Linked DNA regions of Oryctolagus cuniculus. The protein of the gene in region 4 interacts with the protein of the main gene of each other region in a pairwise test. Links are inferred from orthologs where the notes say so. Each region holds a gene or a part of one and is shown on either strand. Other genes may lie near its edges.

Region 1 (4,267 bases), on a different chromosome or scaffold from region 4:
GCCATCCACATGGGCAACCTGAACGGAATTCCAGGCCCCTTGGCTTTTGCGTGGTGCAGACCTGGCTGTTGTGGGCATTTGGGGAGGAAACCAGTGAATAGGATTTGCCTGCCTGTCCTTCTCTTCCTCTTAAATAAATACTATTTGACTGCCTATGTTAACTTTTTCTACCCTCTGGTGATTCTAACCCTTGGAGGTGGGTGGAGCTGGAGGTGGGTGGAGGGCATGCAGGTCCCTCTGGCCCCAGAGCCTTCCACCAAGCAACCTTGTTAGACATCAGCTTATAAGTGCCAGAGGGTGGGAATTCAATGAGGGAAGAAATGTAGAAGCAGTCTGATATTTGCATATCAAAAATCTTGCCTTTGTTCCATACTCTTGTTAGGTGGGTCCCAGCCTTCCCCTGGGGGCAGCTTAGGGGAATCTCCCCAGCTCAGTGTGTGTGTGTGTGGGTGTGTGTGGGGTGCTATTAGGTCCAATAACTTCCACCCTCCTACCGTCTGCGGTGGGCCTTGGAAGGAAGACATTTAAACATCCTTTATCACGGGCAGTTGTCCCTGGGTGGGGGCAGCAATGATGGAGTTCAGATGCAGCAAGGGTTTGGAAGTTGAAGCAACCTGAACAGAGCCTTGGATTGCTCTGTTTTGCCCAATTCCCAGGAGGCCTTGTTGGGCCTGTCTAGGTTGCTGGATAATCAGTGGTTCATGTAGTTGTGTGCATCCATCCATGGTTCTGCTTAGTGTACTGGCTCCCAAAGACACCTGGGCTCTGAAAGGGTGGGCTGGTAGGCAGCTCCAGTCCCAGGCCTGGTCTTTCCAGCCTGGACTTTAACCAGGTGACACACAGCAGTCTGTGTCCATGGATGTCAGCCTGGCCCTGCACCTGTGTGATTCATCCAGGAAGCTGTCCCAGGCAGAACAAATGCTGCTGCCAGGCCTTGGGTGGGAGGGTAGCTGGCCAAATAGTCAGTGGCTTTGTTTGCTTTCTTCTCTCCCTCTGTCCCATCCCCACAGGTGGGAAGTGGCTTGGATGGGAATTAGAACATAGGTACAGGAGTCCTAGCAGGGATCTCTGCCCCCTCCGCCCCACCCCTGCCCACCACGCCCCCCTGCCTGCCCATAGTTTCCTGCTCTTCTCCTGGGACAGTCCCTACAACTCTGACTTCACCCCACTTTCTGCTTCCACGGTAGTTTATGGTTTTTGACACTCACTGATGGACACTCAAGATCTCTTCCTCGCGCTGCAAGTCTCCTGCCCCCTTCCTAATACAAATGCAAAACAGCGTGGGAGTCCCCTGTCCAGGGGGAAGCCACAGTGCAGCTTTAAGAGAAAGGGGAGAGAGGACGAGGGCGCTGACTCAGATCCTCCTACCATTGGCTGCCGGAGGGGATCCCACCTCGGTGATTGGCCGAGACAGAGCCCGCCTACTCTTGCGATTGGCTCCGCCAGGCCTATATAAAGGGCCGCGCGCCGTCCCCTCGCTCAGTCGGAGGGAGGCCGAGGATCCCGGTGGAGTTCGCATTCTGAGACGCCCCTAGCGGCACCTTCACCTCCCCGCGTCTGAGCGCCCGTTCCGCGGCGGCTGCGACCATGAAGGAGAGACGCACTCCCCAGCCAGTCGTGGTCAGGTGCAAGCTCGTCCTAGTGGGAGACGTGCAGTGCGGGAAGACGGCGATGCTGCAGGTGCTGGCTAAGGACTGCTACCCGGAGGTGAGCGCAGACCCCACCTGGCCATCCCCCGCCGCCCTCGAGCTGGAGGGCCGCCCGCCTTAGCTTCCCCCTGAGACCTGTCCCACTTCTGCTGCCCCGCTGGCTCCTCCTCACCCACAAGGCCCCGATCAAACCCCGCCCGCCTCCCTCCGCCCCGGAGTCTGCTCTCAGGAGAGCGAATTGGACGCATTTGAGTCTGGGGTTTCTGGACTGAATCGCTGCTGTCCCCCCCCCCCCCCCGAAGGTTCAGGTTTTGCTGCTCCTCTATGCTGCTGCCCTGGGCCAGGGGCTTGCAGGGGGAGAGCAGACCACGGCAGGATTGGCTGCAACTGGCAGGCAAATATGAGTGTGTGCGCCCCTGACCATTTAGGTTCGGGGCTTGTCTCTGGCTGGGGGTCCGTCACATGTCTCCTGCCATACAGCAAAGTGCCTCTGTCTCTCCAGCCTCTTCTTCCCACGTGTCCCACGTGGGCCTCCCTGCACCATGCATCCCCTCCTCTGGCTCCTGATCTCCTGTCACCTTGATGTCTTCGGTGGGTGGGTGGCTTCTGGTGTGGCCAGCACTGATCAGAGGATTATGGGGGGGGGGGGCAGGGGCCCAGTGCCCAGGTGTCACTGGTCCCTCTCTTTTCTCAGACCTACGTGCCCACCGTGTTTGAGAATTACACAGCCTGTTTGGAGACAGAGGAGCAGAGAGTAGAGCTCAGCCTCTGGGACACTTCGGGTAAGACGTGGCCCCAGATGCCCCTTTGGTACCTGTGCTGGTCGCCGCCACCTTTTAAGGGGTGGGCGGTGGTAGAAGGGAGTGTGGCGCTTGCAAGGGCAGGCAGAGAAGGAGATCTGTGGGGTGGGGGCAGTTGGATGGCCCTGGGGTTGCAGAATGGGTGAACCCCAGAAGCCACTCACTTTGGGGCCAGTTATGGGACTGGGATGTTGATGAGGAAGAAGGAGCCAGTGATACTCCTGGTGGGGGGCGGTCAGAGAGGGCTTCTACCTTTCACTGCCTGCCGCCCAACACGCAGGCACATAGCCTCAGCCAAGCCAGGACAGAGGCAGGGAGACAGGAGCCTGCCTTGAGGGAAATATTGCTCTGGCTCCACACTCCCCTGCCTGCCGCAGCTCCAAGCTCGCCACACCGCTGCGGCTCAGGAATGAAACGATGCATCATCGGGTGTTTGGGGCGGGTGGGGGAGATGGCTTAATACAGGACAGAGTCCCGCTGTGCGAGGTGGCTCATGGGGCGGAGGGGGCTTGGTTGGCACTGACTGTTTCCCCTGGCCGGGGTGAGGCAGGAGACGCTGTCGTTCTAGAACATAGAAAGCAATGTTTCTCAGCCTCCTGGCCCTGAGCCCTTCATGCCCGGCTATCCTTTGCTTTGATCCTTAGCCTCTCCCGCTATCTTTGTATCCCGGTTTCCTTCTAATAGACTGGCTGAGAGTCACAATGAAGGAGTAAATATCAGGAACAGGAAAAAAGAAAATAAAAAGCCCCCCTGCTCCCCCCAAATACAGTTTCAGGCTGAGTTTAAAGGGGAACACCAAATCACTAGAGGTTTATGTTACATATATTTAGTACACTGTCCTGCTCTCCCAAATATCTCCAATGTTGAGATGACTGGGGGTAGGGAAGTGGGGGGGGCAGAAAATGAGACTCCCCTTGCTCCTCATGCTCCCCCACCCCCTCCCCGCCAAACAGAAATTTCTCAAGCCGGTGTGCTTTCCCCCAGGTGGAGGTTCCAGGGGTGGGGAGGCGGGGTCTGCTCCTGGACCGCGCTGCTGTGCCGGTTGGCTGGGACTGGAATGCAGGGCTGCATGATGTATGGTTTTTCTTCCGCTGTGCCCTCCCACCTCCCGGTCTTACTGCAGCTCATCTCCCGTTCACTACCACCGCCCCAAAACCTCTGCTGCTTCCTCACCCACCCCTCACCTGCCCCCCGCAGCAGCCCTTGAATCCCAATCCGATAATGGAGAATCAGGTGGTGAGTGAGCTCTCTTTCCCTGTGTTGTAACCCCACTCCCCAGTTTCCAAAGGCAGGCAGGCTCTCAGTCATCCTCAAACTCCCCCCTCTTTCAATAAGGTTCCCCATTAGAAAGGAGGAAGTGGCAGAGTTCTGCGGGATGGGGCTTCCCAGCCTTGGGGCTGGGCCCCCTCTTCCCATCAGTCCCTGGCTCATCTTAGGGGAGGGAGATTGCTTGGAGCCCAAGCGATGGCCCTGCCCTCCCTCCGCCCCCAGGACTGCAGCGCTCTCTTCGCCTTGCCGTGGGAAGACCACCCCCCACCTCCCGGCTCCAAGAGGGATACGGGCAGATTGCTGAAGGAGTGGGCAGCTATCCCAACTCCCCCTTACTGCTTTTATTGTAATGACCAACGCCCCCCCCCAAGCTTGGATTCCCCCCCAGTTTCCATGGCAATTGCGGAGTAGGGAGAGGGGCTGCTTGCTGTTCTGAGCAGGGATTGTCTGGATTCCAAATCTGCCACTATTCCTTCCCCAGGGTGTAGAAGGGGCAGGCTCCGTCCCTAGCATCCACCCAGGTCAGCCCACTGGTGCCTCCTTGCCCAA
Region 2 (4,235 bases), on a different chromosome or scaffold from region 4:
ATATGCAGACTCCCCTATCCAAGTGTTTACCCAAAATCTCCACTTGAACCTTAAGCAGAACACCTGCAAAGCAGGTATCTAGATTTCTCCCACCCCTAACTTTCTCCCCTTTGTGCCTTCCCCATCTCATTAAACGGCTCCAGGATTACCAGCCACCAGGCCCTAAACCTAAGAACCATCCACGATCGTTTTGCTTCCTCACACACTGTCCCCCAAGTCCAAGTCAATGCCCGTGAAAGTGTGTGCCTAAGTAAGATTTGGGTGGGCGTTTCTCATGACACTTTGGGACACCTGCATCCCATATTGGGAGGAGAGCCTGGGTTCAAGTCTCAGCGCCAGTCCCAACTCCAGCTTCCTCTAATGCACATCCTGCAGAAGCAGGCGATGGCTCAAGTGCTCGAGTCCCTGTCACTCATGTGGGTGACCTAAATTGAGCTCCAGACTCCTAACTTGGAGGCCTGGCTCAGGAGAATCTGTTGCAGGCATTTGGGGAGTAAATCAGTGGGTGGAAGATCTCTCTCTGTCTCTTTCATTCTGCCTTTCAAATAAAATAAGCAACTAGCACATTTTTAAAAACACAAAATTATTTTAAAAAATAAATAGCGCTGTTCTCACCACACCCACTAAGGCCATCCTAGGGCAAGCTACCACCAACCACCTCACTTCCTCGGTAGCCTCCTGCAGACTTTCGTGTTCTCTGTTGTGTGCTTTACACACATCAGCAAGATTAACTTTTAAAAATCCGAACCGTAGCTCACCCTCCTCCATGGCTTCCCGTTGCCCCGCAGGGTCTGGCCCCTTGCCCACTGCACTGAGCCTCGCTGCTGGCTTCTAACTGCTCCTGCCCACAGGGCAGGCACATCCTACCTCTGCAAGTGTGGCTGATTGCCTTATTTAAGCCCCAGGTGCTCCACCCCCGGCCATCCCCCAACTCAGGTTTGCAGGGTTCATTCCATCAAGTCTGTATGTGCTCAGAGGTCTCCCAAGAGAGGCAGTATCTGACCCAACATCCACCCTACCCGCTGCTCCACTTGCCCCACACCACTTAAGACTGCCTGCAGTTGCGGTCACTGCTGTGTCTTCTGTCTCCCTCTCCCAATCCACTAGACGGCAAGCTCCAAGCCAGCCTTTGCTTTATCCGCTCCGCCTAGGGCACTGCCCGGCATCTAACTGCTGCTCAGTTAGTACTTGTGGCATGGTTGCGTTCTCTCCAATTTCTGTTCCTCCTGAACCTTTACAGCCGTCCTCATTTCATATCCGGCTCCTCTGCAAATGTGAAACTCCGCGCGCTTTCCCAGCAGTCGTCCGCTCTCCCTACCCTTTCCTGAGCAGCGGCTCCTTTAAGCGGACTCCGGATTTCCCCCCTCCCACCAGGGAAGGCGGGACCAAAGCCTGGCCGACGCCGACCCGGAGAGGCGGGGCGGAACTAAGGGGGCGGGACATGCGTCCTGCGTGCGTGCGCGTTCTGGAGGCGCCGCCGCCGCCGCTCCCGAGGCCGCCGCCGCCGTCGCCGCGCAGAGCCGGAGCCACGGCCGAGAGGAGGGAGGAGGAGGAGGAGGAGGTGGAGGAGGCGCCGGACCGGGGGGGTGAGTGAGGGGCGGGGAGCCCCAGCGAGCCCTTGAGGGAGCAGGGGGCGCGGGTCGGCCGGGCCGGGGCAGGGGCGGCTCATGTCGCCGGTCAGTCCCTGGCTCCCCCTTCCTGCTCAGCGTTCGCTCCGTGTCCGGGGCGGCGGCCCGGGGGCCTGGCCGGCGGGAGGGGCCGGAGCTCGGGAGGCCCGGCCGCCGCCGCCAGGGCCAGAGCCAACCACGCCCGCGGACCGAGCCGGTCGACTGTGGCTGGGCCTGCGGGAGACGGACGGGAGGGGCCCGGGCCGGGTGTGGGAGAGAAAGAGGACATTGTGTCCCCCACCCTCCAACTCCCCGAGGTGTCATGGCACAAACCCATTTCCCTCGCGCGTCTCCCCGGACATGGTGTCCTCGCCCCTCGCTGCTGAGAGGTGCGGAAGATTGCACTTCGCTGCCTTCTTCCTTCTCTTGCATGTTCTCTGACTAGGGTTAGGGCTTCCTTGCAGACCCGGCTCCCCTCGGAGGCGCACGCGAGGAGGCACTTGGAGGCTCGGGCACATTTTCTGTCGTCCGTCCCCTGCCGGAGACTTACGGGCGTTCTGCCCCGCTCCTGTCCACTTGTCAGGGGTTCAGGGACTGCCTTTCCTTCCTCGATCTCCCCTCACCACCACCCCAAGTGGATGGGGCTGACGTTTCTACGTCCCAGGGCGCCTCCCAGCCCCTTTCCCGCCCTCTTTCACCCCTGTCTCCTGTAGCGTGCCATGTGTTCTTCTTGTCAGCCTTGGCTTCGCCTGGGTCTCGGCTTCTGGCCCCGATGTCGTTAGTGGGGAGGTCGCGGTGTGGTTGTCGCCTCCCTTCCGAGGAGGCTCTGCAGGAGTGTCGGGTTGGTAGCACTGTTACTTGCCCCCTCACTCAGGAAGTTAGGACGGTGTCTTCAGCTGAATTGTGAAACCCACTTCTGTACTGCTAGGAGAAGAGGACACAGTGTACCCCACCCCCGCCCCCCTAGAATAGGAGGATATCATCACCGGGCTAAAATCCAGGGTGCAGGAGACCTTTGACCTCTTGAAAAAAGAACTGTGCTTAGGAGTGATGTATTCCTTTTGGGGAGGGAAAATCGTTTTGGTACTGCTTTGAAAGGAGGAGGGTGTAAGAAATAAAGTGCACCAACAAGGCAGTAGGTTCATGGGCCACAGGTAGCCACTGTTTTCCGATTTGGGGGTGACAGATGGTGATTCTGTGTGGGTTTGGTTTTTTACAGTAAGAATGAAGTATCAGCGCTTGCACTTAACTTTTTTGAAGGACTCCTACCTTCAAAAACATGCCGAAGGGCAGTCTCAGAAAAGATGCTGTTGGAAACAGGATTTGGAAACTTTCTTTGGGTTTCCTGTCTGAATGTGTGGGGGTGGGCATGCCGGTGTGTAGTGTTGCTTTTCTTTTGATGTAGTTGATTTATGTGATACTTTGACACAATAAGCCCTGAATTAGGCCCCAGACTCCTCCTCTGTCTTTATTATGCTTTCCTGTAGTGCTTTTTTTCTGAAATTCTTTCTGATATTATTTTTTAATGTGGTGTTTCAGTGAATCTTCTGTTGATTCCTTGGTATTTTGAATTGCCTTCTTTAAATATGCTTAGGTGTTGAGAGTCACACATGTTCGCTATTCATTGAATGAACTGAATGATTACAAAGATGTGTCTAGCTATTATTTATCTTCTGTCATTTTTGAGGTACCTTATGTTAGGATTTTATATTTGACATGGAATAAATGAAATAATTTTTAACCTTTTCTAGGCTGCTGACACCTTCCAGAATATAATGAAATATGTGGACACTGTCCCGAGAAAAAAAGTAACAGACATTACGCATAAAACTGCGTTCAAGGCCGGCGCCGTGGCTCAATAGGCTAATCCTCCACCTTGCGGCGCCGGCACACCGGGTTCTAGTCCCGGTTGGGGCGCCGGATTCTGTCCCGGTTGCCCCTCTTCCAGGCCAGCTCTCTGCTATGGCCAGGGAGTGCAGTGGAGGATGGCCCAGGTGCTTGGGCCCTGCACCCCATGGGAGACCAGGAAAAGCACCTGGCTCCTGGCTCCTGCCAGGATCAGCGCGGTGCGCCGGCTGCAGCGGCGGCCATTGGAGGGTGAACCAACGGCAAAAGGAAGACCTTTCTCTCTCTGTCTCTCTCTCTCACTGTCCACTCTGCCTGTCAAAAAAAAAAAAAAAAAAAAAAAAAAAAAAAAAAAAAAAAAAAAAAAAAAAAAAACTGCGTTCAGTCTCAGGGGCCCTCTGAAACCAACCATTGACACCTATCTTGGAATCCTTGAGTAGTATTCAATTTCGTATCAAAAATGTTCAGAAGCCTTGTTGCCTCTTTGTGTGGCCTCAGGAATGATGGTGTGTACACTTGCATTCCAGACGTTGGGTCTCTGGCAACAAGATATAAGACTGATTACTGTTAAAATTTTATGGGGAAAAGTTAGTCCACATTTGTAACTATTACTGGTTAGTTTTAAATTAATATGCTGACTGCTTCTAAAGTATAGAATTATTCTAGACACTTTTTAAAAAAGATTTATTTTATTTTATTGGAAAGACAGAGTTACAGAGAGAGGTAGAGAGAGAGAAAAAGGTCTTCCATCTGCTGGTTCACTCCCCAGATGGCCGCAAAGGC
Region 3 (4,205 bases), on a different chromosome or scaffold from region 4:
AGCCGAGTGCTCTGGAGTGGGAGGGGCACCCCAGCCACCAGGCCAAGGGCGCAGCTTCAGGAAACTGGCCTGGCCCGGGAGCTCCTCGCCCACTGCCGGGCGCCCGCAGGTGTGGCTGTCCCTGGCTTTGCTGAGGGACGTCCTCCTGACAGACCTCGGGAAGGAGTGGACACAGAACTGCTGGAAGCCAGGACGGCAGTGGGGGCCGCCTGCCCCGGACGGCTTCGCCCCGGGAGCAGCCGACCTTGCCGACGCCTGGACTTCGCACTCGGCCCCGAGTGGGGACAGCCTGTTTCCAAGGCTCTGGGTCCCCATCAGCCGCTGGGTGCACAGGCCACCTCTGCTCTCTGCCCACCCAGGGGACCACTCACCCGCAGGCGCCTCAGGCCGACAGAATGCCGGGCCGGCCAGGGCAGCAAGCACTGGGACAGGCCGGGCTCCTCCCCCAGCCCCAGGCACGGTCTCAGGAACACAGGCCAGATGTCAGCAGTCTCCTGCTGCCTCAGTTTACCCGTCCCTGGGCTACGTCAGCTGCTGGCTCCGTGGGTGTCCTGGAGCCAGTGCAGCACCTGCGCCAGGCCAGTGCCTTTCCGGGCGCTGATTTCCGCGGTGGAGACGTTCTGCCTGGCGTGAGCGAGGATGTCTGGAAGCCTCATCAGCGACCTGATCTCCTCCATGCTCATGTAGCAGGGCAGGTCGCTGCGGGAACACACCGCCCCGTCAGGCCGGGCAGCCCCGGGGCCCGCTCCCCGCCCGGGGCACGCCTGCCCCGCGCACCCGTGCTGCCCCGCTCCCGGGCCCGCCAGCCCCGCGCACCCCGCGCTGCCCCGCTCCCGGGTACACCTGCCCCGCGCACCCCGTGCTGCCCCGCTCCCGGGCACGCCTGCCCCTGCTCCCGGGCACGCCTGCCCCGCGCACCCGTGCTGCCCCGCTCCCGGGCACGCCTGCCCCGCGCACCCCGTGCTGCCCCCGCTCCCCGCCCCGCCCCCCCGCCCGGGGCAGCCCCGCTGCCCGCTCCCAGGCCCGCACATCTTATTGAACAGGATCAGGACGGACGCTTCCGCGAGCTGCTCTGCAGAAAGGAGGCCCAGGAGCTGCACGCAGGCCGCGGAGAGCTGGGTGGGGTTGGAGGCGTCCACCATGAACTGAGGAGGAACAGAGCCCTGGGACCTCGCCCAGCACCGCAGGCCCGGCCCAGGGCGGCAGGGCGAGACGCCATCAGCCACAGCCGCCGACCACGAAGGGAACAGGCAGGGGGAGTCGGTTCTCCGCGGAGGAGCTGGCCGGTGCCCGTCCCCTGGACCGCTACGCCAGCGGGGGAGTGGGAGGGCGCGGGACCCACCAGCAGACAACGGCAGTTTCCGTAGTAACTGGACCAGATGGGGCCCATGCACCCGCCCAGCTCCCGGATGGTGATTCTCCGCTGGACCACGATGTCCGTCAGGTTGGTGCCCACCTGCGGGAACCATGACGCAGAGGTTGTGAACTCCCGGAGGGCAGTGCGTGCCCACCTGAGGGCCGGGGCCCAGACGCTCCCCCGGGGCGACCAGGGAGGGGTCTCGGGAGGCAGTGCGTGCCCATCTGCGGGCCGGGGCCCAGACGCTCCCCCGGGGGCGACCAGGGAGGGGTCTCGGGAGGCAGTGCGTGCCCATCTGCGGGCGGGGGCCCAGACGCTCCCCCAGGGGCGACCAGGGAGGGGTCTCGGGAGGCAGTGCGTGCCCATCTGCGGGCCGGGGCCCAGACGCTCCCCCAGGGCGACCAGGGAGGGGGCCTCAGGAGAGAGCGGTGCGTGCCCACCTGCGGGCGGGGGCCCAGACGCTCCCCCAGGGGCGACCAGGGAGGGGTCTCGGGAGGCAGTGCGTGCCCATCTGCGGGCCGGGGCCCAGACGCTCCCCCGGGGGCGACCAGGGAGGGGTCTCGGAGGGCGGTGCGTGCCCATCTGCGGGCCGGGGCCCAGACGCTCCCCCAGGGGCGACCAGGGAGGGGTCTCGGAGGGCGGTGCGTGCCCACCTGCGGGCCGGGGCCCAGACGCTCCCCCGGGGGCGACCAGGGAGGGGGTCTCGGGAGGGCAGTGCGTGCCCACCTGCGGGCCGGGGCCCAGACGCTCCCCCGGGGCGACCAGGGAGGGGTCTCGGGAGGCAGTGCGTGCCCATCTGCGGGCCGGGGCCCAGACGCTCCCCCGGGGGCGACCAGGGAGGGGTCTCGGGAGGCAGTGCGTGCCCACCTGCGGGCCGGGGCCCAGACGCTCCCCCGGGGCGACCAGGGAGGGGTCTCGGGAGGGCGGTGCGTGCCCACCTGCGGGCCGGGGCCCAGACGCTCCCCCGGGGGCGACCAGGGAGGGGGTCTCGGGAGGGCAGTGCGTGCCCACCTGCGGGCCGGGGCCCAGGGAGAGGGGTCTCGGGAGGGCGGCAGGCGGCCGTGCGTCGGGCGAGTTCAGGGACACGCTGGCGGCCGCACCCGCCTCCGCACAGGTCACCCCCTCCGGTCGCGCCTGCGGGAGTCCGACACCTACCGTGGGCTGGGTCGGCGGAGGCGCCCCCACGTCGCCCTTCGCGTCCTGGGAGCTCAACTGTGCGGAGCGGTCAAGGACCAGAGCCCCACGGACGGCGTCCCCACCCCGGCCCCCCAGGGCCCCTCGCGCCGCCCGGGAAGGATATTCTGCAGCCGTTTCACCAACAGCGTCTTCCCGACGCCCGACGCCCCCAGCAGCAGACACATCCCGGACCCCGGGCCCCTAGGCACCCGCCGCTCGGCGCCCACACGCAGGGCCCACCCCCTGCCCCTCTCATTGGCTAAGCCTCTCTTCCAGAGTGCTCATTGGTTCTTTGGACTCACCACCGCGGCGGCCGCGGTCCAATAGACGCACGGCGTCAAGGGACGGGCGTTAAGTCCCGCCTCCTCGCGAGTCTCGGCCGGAGCGGCGAGCTGCGCGTGCGCGCGCTGGAGGGGAAGGCGGAAGCGGAAGTCGGGGGGCGCGCCAGCTCGGAGCGGAGGAGCGTCCGCGGCGTCGGTCCGGGTCGGGGTCGCCATGGGGCGAGGCGGCGGCACCTTCGAGCGTCTCCTAGGTAACGCACCGCGCCCGCCCCCGGGCCGCCCGGCGCTGCCGGGGGCGCTGTCAGCGCGTCCTGCGGCCCCGGCCGCCCCTGGGTCCCCGGGTGTGGCCGCCTCCAGGGCCGGCGTCCGTGAGGGCCGCGCAGGACCCCGGCGTCGCGGGGCCCGCGGGCGGGTCGCCGGGGCGGGCGGGCGGCAGTTCCCCGGGAGCAGCCGCGCTGGCCGAGGGCGCCAGGTCCTGAGTCCCGGACGCCGTGGCCGGCGCTGTCGGAGCCGCCGGGGCGCTGCTGTCACGGCGAAGGTCGGGCCCGCACGTCCTCGCCGGGGCCTGCGGAGCCGCCCTGGGCGCTGCTCCCGCGGCCGGGCCCCGGCGCGGGAAGGCGCTGGCCAGGAGTTCAGTGGACGTTCCCCGGCCGTCCCTGCGCCGGGGTCGCGTGGTCTGCCGCAAGGCCAGCCGTCGCCCCGGACGCTCCGGGTAGTGCCTCGGCCGCCCAGGGCTCTGTCCCCGTGGTCCTGAGTCGGTGCGGAGGGCGCACCTGGTAGGCCACTGCCGCCCCGGGGGCTGGGACACGGTGGCCCCGCGGGAGTCGGATCTGCCTTCGTCCCCAGAGCGCTCAGGCAGGGTGGCCGTCCACGGAGCCCGCGGCCGGGACGCGAGGGAGCCGTGTTTCAGGGTGAGCCCTGGCTCGCTCCGGGACACGCCGTGGGGCCGGGCCAGCGGCCTCCCCTTGGACCCCTGGCTCGTGAGGGCGTGGTTAGTCCACGGGCGCTGCACGGCACCGGGGGCCCCAGCGCCTCTGCGGCTGTCGGTGCGTGTCGGGGCTGGCCCTGGTCTCCCACTGCGTCCAAAGGCCTGGCTGGGGAGGCTGCCCAGGGCCCCGGGGGCCAGCGCTTACATGGCCTGTGTCCCTCAGACAAGGCGACCAGCCAGCTGCTGCTGGAGACCGACTGGGAGTCCATCCTGCAGATCTGCGACCTGATCCGCCAGGGCGACACACAGTGAGTGAGGGGCTGGGCCCCCGGCCTGGATCCCCCTGGGCCCTCGGCCCTCTCCCTAGGCCGTCTGTCCGTCTGCCCTCACCACATCTTCTCTCCTGCAGAGCGAAGTATGCGGTGAATTCCATCAAGAAGAAAGTCAATGACAAGAACCCGCA
Region 4 (4,081 bases):
AAATATTTATGGGGCCTTTACAATGACTTTAAACACATGTACTCTGTTCATGAAATGCCAATCCTTCTGCGGACTATACTAAGTCATACTATAAAACTATAGTAATTAAACTAAATGTGCACAGATGGATCAATGAAATAGAAATATTCTAAAAAGAAAATCCATTTCTTATAGAAACTTTCTATAAGACAAAGATGGCATTTCAAAACAGTGAGGAAAGGACAGAGCAGCTATTTAGTGAATAGTCCTGGGACGACTATGGAAGCAATGATTAGATCTCCACCACACACATGTAAACACCCTGCAGTTAGGCTGAGGAGCTAAATATTGAAAAGAGAAGAAAACAGGCTATTTGATTAATCTTGGGATAAAGAAGTTCTCTTTAAACGATATGCCACATGCAGAAGAAGGAAATACTAATAAATCTGGAATGATAATTTAAAAATCCTGTTCAACAAAAGAAGGGGACAAGCAATACATTGAGAAAAAAATACTTGCAACATACTTCATAGGCAAAGGATCAATACTAAAATGCAAGAGAAATGATCTGGAATTTCTCTCGCAACAATAGCTAGCACACGATGCTTACACCAGGTGCTTTTCTGAATACTTTGGAGATCAATTCATTTCATCTCACAACCAGGTATTATTATTCTTATTTTTACATGAGAAAACTGAGGTAGAGGTTACAGAAGTTGTGCAGGGATATGGGGTCAGGAATGTAAAGCTAGAATTCCAAGGCAGCAAATCCTATGGTTCTTGCTTTCCTTTTCTCTCTTAATCCTCAGATGCCAGTAAAGGACACGGAGGACCAGCACTCTCACTTCACTGCTTCCCAACTTTATGCGGCTGCTCTCCTGTCTCAGGGCTTACTTAGCTCCACTCAAACTTTCCCTGAAAGCCTGTTTGTCGACGCAGCAACATCACGGCTGAACTGGTTAATTCCCCATTCCTGCCAGTGGGCTGACACCTCCTGCTCTCTACTCTTTCATATTTGTCCTCCGCTTCTTTCTCAACAAGTTCAAGAGCCAAGACTGAACGAATGGTGAGAAGCTCAAGCATTCCTTTTCTGCCTTGCTCAAAAGCCACCTTCCGGGTTTTCAGAAATACATTAATTGCAATCCAAAATCTCAAATTCTCTGGTTTACTGTCTGCAACACATATGTTAAGTATAAAGTATGCAAGAGAAAAAATAAAATCCATGTCATAGCTCTCCGAACACTTGAGCTATGCCTATCCCTGTCGAGGCTCCATTATGAAGAGAAACCCAGAAGGGAACATGGAGCTTTGAGAGGTTGTTCCTAAACTCCACCACATGAAAGTACTGAAAGCTGAGCACGGATGAAGTCTGCAAGGCTAACACAGCCTTGGGTTTTTAAACAAGCCTAACAGGATTCCACTGGAGATTTTCATCTGTACATCCCAAACCTCCTGACCCTCTTCTCGCACTGTGTTCTACTACCAACTTGGTTTCTGGCTATGACAAAATAATTCAAATGTGTAGGGGTGAAATGGGCACTGTGACAACCCGACAGGTGGGGGTCAGAGAACAGTGCTTTGCTAAGCACCCAGGGGAGGGGCCCCAAAGCGATGCCGGTATTTTCACCCAAAGCGATATTTAAGAATGTTCCTCACTGAACGGATAGGGTGCTAAGAAGAGATTAAGGTCAGTAGGAGAATGTAAAATTGGAATATGCAAGATCACATTGGCCAGACTAACCCTCCACGAAAACACAAAGCTCTCTAACTACCGGCTCCACCCAGGCCCGAGGCAGGGACTTCACACCTGACCGGGTCCCCAGCGCAAGCCAACCCTTGCTGGACAGCTCCGCCACGACCCGGCGGCAGGCACCCCTAAGGCACCCCGGCCAAGGCACCTGGAGGCATCCCACCACCCGCGAGCTCCGCGTCCTCGCCGGGCTGCAGGGAAGACCCGAGGGGCCGAGAGGCGAGCGGCGCCCGCCCCCCCACCGCCCTCTGCTACTCCAGCCCTGGAAGCCACAAGTGAGCAGAAGAAGTTGTGGCAACCAGACGGGGTGAGGCGGGGTGAGGCGTGGAGGGGGGGGGGCGAGAGTATTTAATGCCAGGCATCGGCGCTGGTCCCACGCAAGGTCGTTCACTCCCAGTCACTTCTCTGCTCCCCCGGGCGGGCTTCCCGCCAAAGACGCCGCCGGGCTTCGAGGCCAGCCCGCCGCGCCCCCTCAGCCCTCCCCGGCGGGCCGCGGCCCCTCCCGGCCGCAGCTCCGAGCCCAGCCCGCTTCCCGACACCCCTCGCCGGCGCCCGGCGCCCCTCGCAGCCCAGGCCCCGGGGCTCCTTCGCCCCCGTGCCCGCGGCTCCCGCCAACGTCCCCCTCCGCCCTCAGGACGCCCCCGTGCCCGCCTCCCGCGCCCCGTGGCGCCGGGGCCTGGGACCTCGGCCCCTTCCTGTCCCCCCTCGCTGCCCCTCTCCTCGGGGGCCCACCTGGCGCCCCAGTCCCCGGCCGGTCTCCTCAGGGAGCGACCGCCTCCCAAGTCCTCCCGGCCCCTCCCCGCTCCCGGGCGGATACAGTTTGAAGCCTCTCAGGATCTCCCTGGCCCGCTCGTCCTTGGCTGACATGTTGCGGCGGCCGCCGCCCGCGGCTCTCTCACGCTGCCCTGCGGAGCCTCGCGGACCGTGCCCAGGAAGCGAGCACAGAGCCGCAGCCCGGCCTGGAGACCTCGGGCAAGCAGAGGCAGCGGCCAGACCCGGACCGGCCTCTCCCTCCCCTCAGCTCCCGCTCCTGATCCTTCTCCTTCCCTCTGGTCTCGGAGCGCCCGCCCCTAAGCCAATGGAAAGCCCGCCTCGGCGATTGGCATTCTCACCAGCCAATAGCAACGCTCAGCGGCTTCGCAGGGGGACGAAGAGCATCCATGGGAAGCGCCCTCCCCGAGAAGTCCCATAGGACAAAATTTTCACTGGGTGTTGTTGCCTAGAGTTAGCCCCAGTGGGGGCTTGGCTTGACATCTGCAGAGGCTCTAGGGGCCTGCTCCTGCTGCTGGGCTCACTAGTCTCCTGAGACGACCGCAGGTTGCATTGTGCGAAGGGGCAGAGGACTACATTTCCCAGAATTCCAGTAGAGCGCCAGGGGACCACAGATCCCAGCACGCAGCAGAGAGGCCCAGGGACTACAAATCCCAGCATTCGTCGCGTCCCGAGGCTCTGTAACTTAGGCTCCAGTGTGCCGCGCAGTGTGCGCAAATTCGTAAACCTGCCGGCAAGGTCGGTGGTTTCTGCATCCCGAGACTGAAAACCAGGCGGGAAGACCCTGTGGCCCGGTGAAAGACGATGACAGCCCACAGAGAATTAACTTCTGTTTACATGGAACTCAGAAATCGCCTGCAAATCATGGTAAGGTTGCAAACAACAAAAACACTGATTAAACCACGAAAGAATGTAACAAAACGACTTCTTCAAACCGTGCTTGTTTGTTGGACGGGGGCGCCGTTTGCGTGTTTTGCGGGGACCTCTGGTGTGTTCCTGCCTCGGACCAGGAGAGCTATCGATTGTGTGCTCTGTCAATACGGGAAGGTGCTTGAAAGAATTTGCTAATCCTGCCCCTGCTGTTTTTACGTGCGAGGGAATTGAGGCCCAGAGAGGCGAGAGACCGGCCTCAGGTCACTGCAAGTTGGGGCAGAGTTAGGATTCGGCCCCGAGTCTGTCGCCCGCAGCCTGGGAGGTGATATTTTTAGCAGTATGGCAGTGCGATTACTGCCCGCCTTGTTGAGTAGTTTGCCCATCCAAGGTTGGAACACCCAGAGGTTGGGTAAAGCATTTATTCGGTGGATTTCTGGCAGATGAGGAAGTGTGTGATATTTGTTTTGGTAGGACTTGGTCTTTTGATTTGTTCTTTCTTTGTCACTCAAGGTGACATTTGATGTGATTTCAGGAAGTGGGTAAAATCGCAGGGTGAGCCCGGGCTTGCTGGGAGATGCTCTGTGTGTTTTCCTAGGACTTTCTTCCTCTCGTCCCCCTCTGCACCCAGCTTTTCACCAGCTTGTCACCCTCTGCACTCAGCTTTTCCTTCTGGGTAATTCAACAAACGTGCTTTCTGCTTCTGTGATT

What was found. The genes of interacting proteins can lie anywhere in the genome.
Region 1: the proteins of PDE6D (region 4) and RND1 interact in a two-hybrid assay, tested with the Homo sapiens proteins (2 studies listed by BioGRID). The link is inferred for Oryctolagus cuniculus from reciprocal best matches to the Homo sapiens genes PDE6D and RND1.
Region 2: the proteins of PDE6D (region 4) and RAP1A interact in a two-hybrid assay, tested with the Homo sapiens proteins (2 studies listed by BioGRID). The link is inferred for Oryctolagus cuniculus from reciprocal best matches to the Homo sapiens genes PDE6D and RAP1A.
Region 3: the proteins of PDE6D (region 4) and ARL16 interact in binary tests that used the Homo sapiens proteins (3 or more experiments, as listed by UniProt). The two-hybrid records come from large-scale screens. The link is inferred for Oryctolagus cuniculus from reciprocal best matches to the Homo sapiens genes PDE6D and ARL16.

The regions. Positions count from the first base shown.
Region 1 is NC_091442.1:52,342,812-52,347,078, reverse strand, and holds the start of RND1 (rho-related GTP-binding protein Rho6), read left to right. Parts: upstream 1-1,467; 5' UTR 1,468-1,587; coding exon 1,588-1,707; intron 1,708-2,343; coding exon 2,344-2,431; intron 2,432-4,267. UniProt on the Homo sapiens protein: Lacks intrinsic GTPase activity. Has a low affinity for GDP, and constitutively binds GTP. Controls rearrangements of the actin cytoskeleton. Induces the Rac-dependent neuritic process formation in part by disruption of the cortical actin filaments.
Region 2 is NC_091438.1:58,749,225-58,753,459, reverse strand, and holds the start of RAP1A (ras-related protein Rap-1A), read left to right. Parts: upstream 1-1,435; 5' UTR 1,436-1,586; intron 1,587-4,235. UniProt on the Homo sapiens protein: Counteracts the mitogenic function of Ras, at least partly because it can interact with Ras GAPs and RAF in a competitive manner. Together with ITGB1BP1, regulates KRIT1 localization to microtubules and membranes.
Region 3 is NC_091448.1:1,091,364-1,095,568, reverse strand, and holds the start of ARL16 (ADP-ribosylation factor-like protein 16), read right to left. Parts: upstream 2,801-4,205; 5' UTR 2,719-2,800; coding exon 2,658-2,718; intron 2,572-2,657; coding exon 2,513-2,571; intron 1,457-2,512; coding exon 1,343-1,456; intron 1,146-1,342; coding exon 1,030-1,145; intron 700-1,029; coding exon 528-699; 3' UTR 1-527. Other genes in the region: HGS (hepatocyte growth factor-regulated tyrosine kinase substrate), read left to right, coding at 3,029-3,065, 3,966-4,050, 4,152-4,205. UniProt on the Homo sapiens protein: May suppress the RNA sensing activity of RIGI in a GTP-dependent.
Region 4 is NC_091434.1:7,549,660-7,553,740, reverse strand, and holds the start of PDE6D (retinal rod rhodopsin-sensitive cGMP 3',5'-cyclic phosphodiesterase subunit delta), read right to left. Parts: upstream 2,807-4,081; 5' UTR 2,597-2,806; coding exon 2,547-2,596; exon of another isoform or gene 2,462-2,546; intron 1-2,461. UniProt on the Homo sapiens protein: Promotes the release of prenylated target proteins from cellular membranes. Modulates the activity of prenylated or palmitoylated Ras family members by regulating their subcellular location.